Alligator mississippiensis: one gene and its partner. The protein of the gene in region 2 purifies or fractionates together with the protein of the main gene of each other region. This does not show direct contact. Links are inferred from orthologs where the notes say so. Each region holds a gene or a part of one and is shown on either strand. Other genes may lie near its edges.

The links. Proteins that work in one complex are often made in the same cells at the same time.
Region 1: the proteins of PARK7 (region 2) and SNCA purify together in Homo sapiens (affinity purification with western blotting; 3 studies listed by BioGRID and IntAct, with this or other methods). This does not show direct contact. The link is inferred for Alligator mississippiensis from reciprocal best matches to the Homo sapiens genes PARK7 and SNCA.

What each region holds. Positions count from the first base shown.
Region 1 is NC_081825.1:152,570,666-152,574,413, reverse strand, and holds the start of SNCA (alpha-synuclein), read left to right. Parts: upstream 1-855; 5' UTR 856-1,035; intron 1,036-3,027; 5' UTR 3,028-3,052; coding exon 3,053-3,173; intron 3,174-3,748. UniProt on the Homo sapiens protein: Neuronal protein that plays several roles in synaptic activity such as regulation of synaptic vesicle trafficking and subsequent neurotransmitter release.
Region 2 is NC_081836.1:20,171,425-20,175,172, reverse strand, and holds the start of PARK7 (Parkinson disease protein 7), read right to left. Parts: upstream 2,751-3,748; 5' UTR 2,746-2,750; coding exon 2,656-2,745; intron 2,079-2,655; coding exon 1,977-2,078; intron 1,807-1,976; exon of another isoform or gene 1,482-1,806; intron 1,315-1,481; coding exon 1,255-1,314; intron 149-1,254; coding exon 79-148; intron 1-78. UniProt on the Homo sapiens protein: Multifunctional protein with controversial molecular function which plays an important role in cell protection against oxidative stress and cell death acting as oxidative stress sensor and redox-sensitive chaperone and protease.

The DNA of each region.
Region 1 (3,748 bases), on a different chromosome or scaffold from region 2:
GCTGACTGAAAGGAAACGTCTCCCTGGCCATGGCTTCCTTCTCCTGGGCATCCAATGTTCTTTTTGTTGGTGGATGGAAGGTGGGGGCAGAATGGGCTGATGGCTGGCACTTGCTGAAGCTCCTGGAAACACCCAAGGGAGACAGCGTTGTTGGTTGTAGCCGTGTTGGTCTAAGGACATAGGCAGGCAAGGCTCCTCAGGTAGATGTGGTATATTTTATTAGACGTGATGCCTTTTATTAGACCAACTAAATAACTAAATATGTGATATCTGAAGCTCCTGGAAACACTCAAGGGAGACAGGGCTGTTGGTTGTAGCTGTGTTGGCTTAAGAATATAGGCAGGTAAGGCTCTTTGGGTAGATGTGCTATGTTTTATGAGATGTGATACCTTTTATTAGATGGACTAGATAACTAAAGATTTAGTGGGTCTAATAAAAGATATCACATCTATCCAAAGAGCCTTGCCTGCCAAGAGAGATGGGTTCTTTGGGTAAATCTGATGTCTTCTATTAGACCAACTCGAATAGTTGGAAAAATTCCTCTTCGCAAGCCTTTGGGTACAAATACTAATAAATAAATAAATAAATGTAAATAAGGGAGACTCATCTTTTTTCTTGCCCTCCCCAGTCAGTCTCCATGTGCTCTGCTCTTGGCAATGAATCCCCTGGCCAAGGGACCCCCAGAGGAGGCGGTGCCCAAGCCTCAGAGGCAGGAGTGCCTCATCCCGGGGGCGATGGGGGGAGAAGTGCCCAGGCACATGGGAGGGGAGGCCTGCCTCCATCTTCCCCCTGCGACGAATCAGACGGATTGGGCGGGGAAGGCGATGGGGAGGGGGCAGGAGGCGGAGGGGCAGCGTCGCTGCCTGCCCGCTCTCTCCGCCTCCCGCCCGCACCCGCACCCGCTGCCTGCCGGGCTGGGACCGGGCGGGGGCAGCTCCCCGCGACTCTCCCGCCGGCTCCGGCTCCGCCATGTGCTGAGGCAGGGGCCGCTCCTCGGGTCCCCCGCGCCGCCGCTGCAGCTCCCCGGGCCCCGCGGTGAGTGCCTGCAGCTGCTCGTTCTCGTGACGGTGCTTCTCGCAGTGGGGATTTGGGTCCTGTCCTGGCTGCGCCTGGCGGGAGCGGGGCACGGCCCCGGGGCTGCGTGTGCGGAGAGGCGGCTCCGCCCGGCTGCTGCCCCGACCCCCCCGGGCTGCCTCCGCCTCGCGGGTCGCTTCATCCCGGGGAGGATGAGAGAGAGAGTGTGTGTGTACCTGATCCCAGGCTACATGTGCGCTGGGCGGGATGAGCCTGAGCCTGGCTTCAGCTGCTGCTGCTTCGTGCCCTGGAAATGCCACAGCTTTCTGTAGGGAGGCACTGGGCAAACTTTCCTTCTGTCTCTCTCTTTTTTAAATAAAATTTTGGTCTAGCCCCGTCCCCTCCGGCAGGTCAGCACACTGCCGAACTGCCCAGCCGGGGGAGGGATGGGAGGCTGCGTCCATTGTGGTGAGTGAATGCTCTGTTAACAGGTGCCCCAGCCTGCCTTCCTCTCCTGTGTGTGTGTGTGTGTGAGCTGTGTGTGTGTTGTGGGGGGTTGATTCCGCAAGGCTCAGTGTGTGTATGTGCATGTGTGAATGTATGTTTGCGTGTTTGGGGGGTGCAGTGTGATTTCCCAGGGCTCAGAGTGTGTATGTGTGTGCATGCATGTGTGCATGTGTCTGTGTGATTCTCCAGGGCACAGCATCATTCAGGAGAGGGCAGCTCCTGGAGAAGGTCCTGGGACATTTCCCTCACTAGTGTCAAGCCTGGTTGGAAGCTGCCTCCCCACAATGGATCCCAGAGAGCCTCGCTAGTAGTAGCTAGACAGATCTTACATCTCAGTGATTGAAACGGCTTCATTGCCTCTCCTAGGAAGACTGGCAGCTGTTAGAAAAGGTTTTAATGAGACACCAATAGCACTTCTAATTTTTAAAACCCTTGGTAGGGGTGGCTGCAGCCCAGATGTTTCCTTAGACACCCATTCCTCCTTCTCAGCATCACAAGGGAAAGGGAGAGGAGAGGCACCCCTAAGCTTTTGCTCTACATATGGGTGGAGAAAGAAGTGATCACCAATCTAGTTAATTTGTTAAAGGGACACTGTCATTTTTTAAGTGACTTATATGTAGCTCCTGACCTTACCTTGGCTCCTGTTTCCCACCTGCCAGTTTGGGAGTTTTACAGTGACGTCTTTCTACTTTTACTCCATGTTTTGTTCCCCCTGCTGCTGTATGAAGGACCACTTAAAATCACAGGGGAAACTAATTCTATAGGAGAAAGAAGCAAACAGAAAGAAATGCTGTCAAATCCGAAAAAGCAGACCTTCCCTCTCCCCTCCCCCTCCAAATCCTTTCAAGTATAATAGGGGTTTCTTATAACAATAGTAATTAAACACTTTTGCACAGAAGTCTGCTTTTTTTGACAGTGTTTCTTTAAGGGAGTCTGTGGCTCTGAGTGAGGAGATAGAAAATATCATCTCATCTTAGAGCTGAATCCTTCCTTCTTACAGGAAAAAACCCCGTCTCATTTCCTTTAAAGGAAATTTTATTTCAGAAAAGAGAAGATCTGGAAAAGATCTGTTAAATCAGCTAATCCACCCCCCATTCTTCACCCTCACCAGAACTGAATCAGTTCCTATAGCACATTGCAGCCTCTTCATTTTTAAGGCTCCTTTGCAATTAGCTAGGTCTGTTCTACTTGGGTTGTGAGAGTACTGCAGAAACAAGATGTATGTCTGTAATGCTGGTTAACTTGTTATGTATGACAGCGTTTGAGAAAATAGAAAATATCAAGGCCATTGAGAGGAGTGCATGTATTTTTGGACCACTTTTCTTCTGTATGAAATACTGAACATGGGTGTGTGAAGAAAGTCAAATGTATACAGATGATATTTGTGATGTTCAGAAAAATCTAATCTTTCAATAAAAACGGTTCTAGTCACAGCTGGAACAAAAGTCTTCCTGTCAGAAAAAAGAGCACTTGATTCAAAATGTTTGTCTTGTTCTCTTTCTCCAGTACTGTCTAAAGAAATTGTTTAACCATGGATGTATTCATGAAAGGGCTTTCCAAGGCTAAGGAGGGAGTCGTGGCAGCAGCAGAAAAAACCAAACAGGGTGTGGCAGAAGCAGCAGGAAAGACGAAAGAGGGCGTTCTCTATATGGGTAGGTGGGCAAGATAAAACCAACTGCTATTACTGTGTTGGCTTTTGTGTGTGGTATGAATGACTGATTGAAAGACCAGGAGCCAGACTGTTGGGAATGACCTTGGTATAAATGTGGAGTAACTCAATAACAGAGTTGCTGCACTGTAAATGAGATTTGACTTGAGCCCTGAATTTTGAAGGTAAACCTCTGTAAAGCTGGATAATGACTCTTGCTAGATCTTTTGGTGTTTCATCGCACCATCAGAGTCATCCTTTATTATGGCACAGTACCATAAGCATATAGGCTATAAGCTGGCCTGTAAGCATACAGTAGGTGGTCTGTGCACATATGGCCATGTATAATAGGAGATACGTCAAAAATTGTGCATGCTGTTCAAACTGCCTGCCAATTTCAGGGCAAAGGGGCTGGTTATAAAGAGTGGCAGGCAGTTTTACAATTGAAATGCTATCGAACATGAGGATTTCAAGAATATGCTTTTTCTTTTTTCCCCCCATCTAAAATGAAAAGGAATGGAAGATGACATCAGGGCTAGAAGAGAAGCTATTGAGTTGTTTTTCATTATTTTAAATAAG
Region 2 (3,748 bases):
TAAGTAGTTGAGTAACAGAGATTTGTAAGAGGCACCTGTCCAGACAACACTTTAATACAATGCAAGATATTTCGTCACCTGCACAAATGGCAGCAATCAAGCCTTTCCTCATCTCCTGGTCCTTCAGGATGTCTTTAACAGCAGAGGACTGCATAAAAGAAACCGTATCACTTTACATAATGATTTATTTTAACATGACAAGTCAAGATACATTTTCTACTGTAAAAATATAAATCAAGAAATGAGAACTAAAACAGGAACTTCAGTCCTTCTGTTTTATAACATAGAACAAACAGATTTTAAAAGAAATTGTAAATGTAGAACCTTCAAAAGCAACAAGAGGTAACAATTAGAAGGGATATTTATTTACCTCCTATTTGATGGCTGAAACCAATATCTAAACCTATTGAGGCCACGGTAAGATTAAAAAAGCCAAACAGGAGACAAGTTTCTTAGACTTTACCCCCAACGAATCTAGTATTAGGCACTGTCAGAGAAAGCATAGCAAATTGAATGGACATCTGGTTTAATTCAAGTGCTTATGGCTTCAATCTACTTTACACTTTGTTGCATTAAATCTTTGTTTACCAATTATTGCATCTCCACACCTTAAGAATCGAAAGCACCTCCTTATTTTCAGAGTAATTAGGGCCAGGCTGCTTAACAGTTGATTAGCTTACAAAGGTCCAGAAAATTGGCAGAGGACAAGTGGTCATCAATGTAGCCACCCTCCCTCCTACCAAATTCCCAAACCCAAAAGGTGCCCCCCACCCTTGGACTGGTCCACACCCCCTCCCTCCCACTTCTGAATTAGGGGCTGAGCCACACCGCCTTTCCCCCCTGCAGGGCCTGTTTGGGGCCCAGCCATGCCTCCTTTCCTCCTCCACAGTGCCAGGTTGGAGCTGAGCTGTGCTCACTTCCCCTGCAGGGCCAGATTGGGGCTGAGCCATGCCCCATTCCTCCCCCTACCCCCATGGGACTAGGTCTGGCTCCTTTTCCTTGCAGGGCCAGGTTACTGCTGGCCTGCCCCCGACCCTTCTGCCTAGTCAGATGGGGTCTGCTACTCCTGCCCCAGGAGCCGGATCGGGACCACCAGCTGGATCCAGCCCACCTGCCAAAAATGTTGGGCACCACTGCTCTAAAATATTTAACTAAATTTGCAGAAGTAGAAGCTAAAAAGAAGCATCACTGAAAGAATTAAGAGCATTCCATCAGATGGGTAGGCCTTGGTATTGCTGAAGAGAAGTCTTTTACCTCTGACAAGTTCTGAGCTCCTAGATTACCTCCTGGTAGGACCACCACATCATAAGGCCCCTAAAGAAACACCATTCTGTTAGTGTGTTATCAAGATTGTTCATGGAGAAGACCTACCTTCATAGTGGTGAGAATATACTGTAATAAGTAACAGATAAATCCTAATTTCTGGGGAACTTCCAAAATATTTACTTAATGGAGTGCCTTATTGTCTCCTTTCCCACCAGAGTGTTAGAGACACTTGTTCCAAAGCAACCTCTGCCAACAAGAAGTCTGAGTGTGGGTGAGCTCAGTACCCTAGAGTGTGAATGTCAGTGCTTCAGTGTGATCACAAGAGCTGTGCTGCAAAAGCTCCCGACACAGCCCTGTTACTGCGCTTCCTTCCTAAGCAAGGGCTCTCTGTTTATACAAGTCACCCTATTTTTTCAGTGTCTGGGTAACACCTTAAAATAAAGTCTGAGTTGATTTTGTAAAATATTTAAAGTGTCTGGATGGAGTGTGACAAGTTGTGCAAAACTTTAGTATTTTCTTGAATAAAGAAAAAAAATGCTAGCCAGACAGATTTCTATGAAAATTGCAGAATGTATCTTTGAGCATGTGATGCTGCTGCTGCAAGGAGTGAGTTAACAGAACATTAATGAAGGAAAATAAATATAATTCTAAGTCTGTTGTGAACCACAAAAGGCCAGTGTTAAGCAACATGCCAAATCAACAGGACAAACCTCTTTTCTGGCGTCTTCCAAACTGGTGTCAGGACAAACAAAGACATCTCGGCTGCACTGCACTGGCTCTTTTCCTGTTAGGCCTGCAACTGTGACCTTGATCTATCAGAAGTACAGACAGCATTAGGACTCAGGAAAATTGCCTGCTTTGGAAAGTTGCAGGGGTCAGTTACATAGTATTCACAAGTATCTTTTAGTTAAGAGGTCATTTAAACCAAGTGAAAGTGGAGCTGTGAAGACAAACTCACTCCAAAAGTCTCCCTCCTATAAAAGCAACAGTCAGGGAGAAACATCTGTGGTGATATTGAGTTTCGTAGTCTGGAAGGTCTAACAGATATATTCAATAACTCATCATTTGAACAACCCTAGTCAGGGACCATTTCAACCCAGAGCCTTTTACATTCCAGAAGAATCAGACTAAGTAAATCTGTTAAAGGATTCATCATCCACTGGCAGGCTTTGCTCATGATCTTCTGGATGTTTGCCCTAACTGTATATAGCGCATTACTCAGTTCCTTCTTTTTCACTCTCTGATACTGGTCAAAATACCCTAGACATGCATGGTACCTCACAGGTAAAGAAAATAAGGAACAGTGCACGGGCTGCTTGAAGACTGATTCAAAAGAACAGCTTTGATTTCAGAGGGACCTCAAGGGATTGTAGTGGTTGGCATACTCACTCCAGCCCTTCTCATAAGATCAGTGGGGATAACAGTTTCCATCTCCTCTGCTCCTTTAGCCAGAATTACTAAGGCTCTTTTTGCAGACATGTTTTGTTGGCACTAAGATGCTCTACTTTCCACAATGTCCCAGTGCTGCACTGAAGCCTCCAGCATACAAGGACCAATACTCTGCTTAGGCAAGACAAAGGAGAGACCATTAGAAATTGAACTGCCCAGATAGATTTATCCTAAACTCAGACATCACCATACAACATGCACCAGTTCCTCTGCCCATGCTGTACCACAGGAAGTGTAAAGGGAGGCTCTGGACTGCTGTGCTGGAAACAAAATGAGGGAACTTCCTAACAGAGTACTTGGGTCAGATCATCCTTACAGTTTATTCGAATGAGACAGCACAACCAAAGTGCATCACAGGGTAATAAAGTATGGCATCTCTGTCTCATTTTTCAGATAAGCCCCATATCAGCACAGTTTAGAAGATTTAGTGAAGATTCAGAACAGTGTTTAATTAGGCAACTATAATCTGATTTTATAAAGGAAAGTTGAGACACCAAGGAGTTAAATAGCTTGCATGGCAGGACACCAGTGCAGAGCTGGGAAGAGAATCTTGGACTAAACACAATTTTACATGACAGCCATTTACCAGCATTAGTGTTTAAAATAGACATTAGGTTGGTTATCAGACTGCTCACCCACAGAGAGAGACTGATGATGACTCCCACCCGAGGTTAGTTACACTGTTAAGTGGGTTTAATTGGGTGTTCAGCTCATATTTGAAGCTTCATTTCCTGACAGTAGTCTGCAGGAGTTTCCTGTGAGTTGTCATGACCAATAGTGTCACCAAATGTTTGATTAATAGATTTTCTGGTATTTCCCCAATCTAATGGGGGAGGGGAAGGTGCATATCTTCCCTAAAGTGACTGAACAGAACAAACTGGGGGTAAGATTTTTCACAAAAAACAGGCTCCTAAGTGGATGGCTAGATTCTGGAGAGCAGTTGGTCTTGCACCTACCTTACACCTCACATGCATGTAGTAAAAGTATTTAGTAACATTTTGTGTGTGTGTGATTATCAAGTTTCTGATAATCA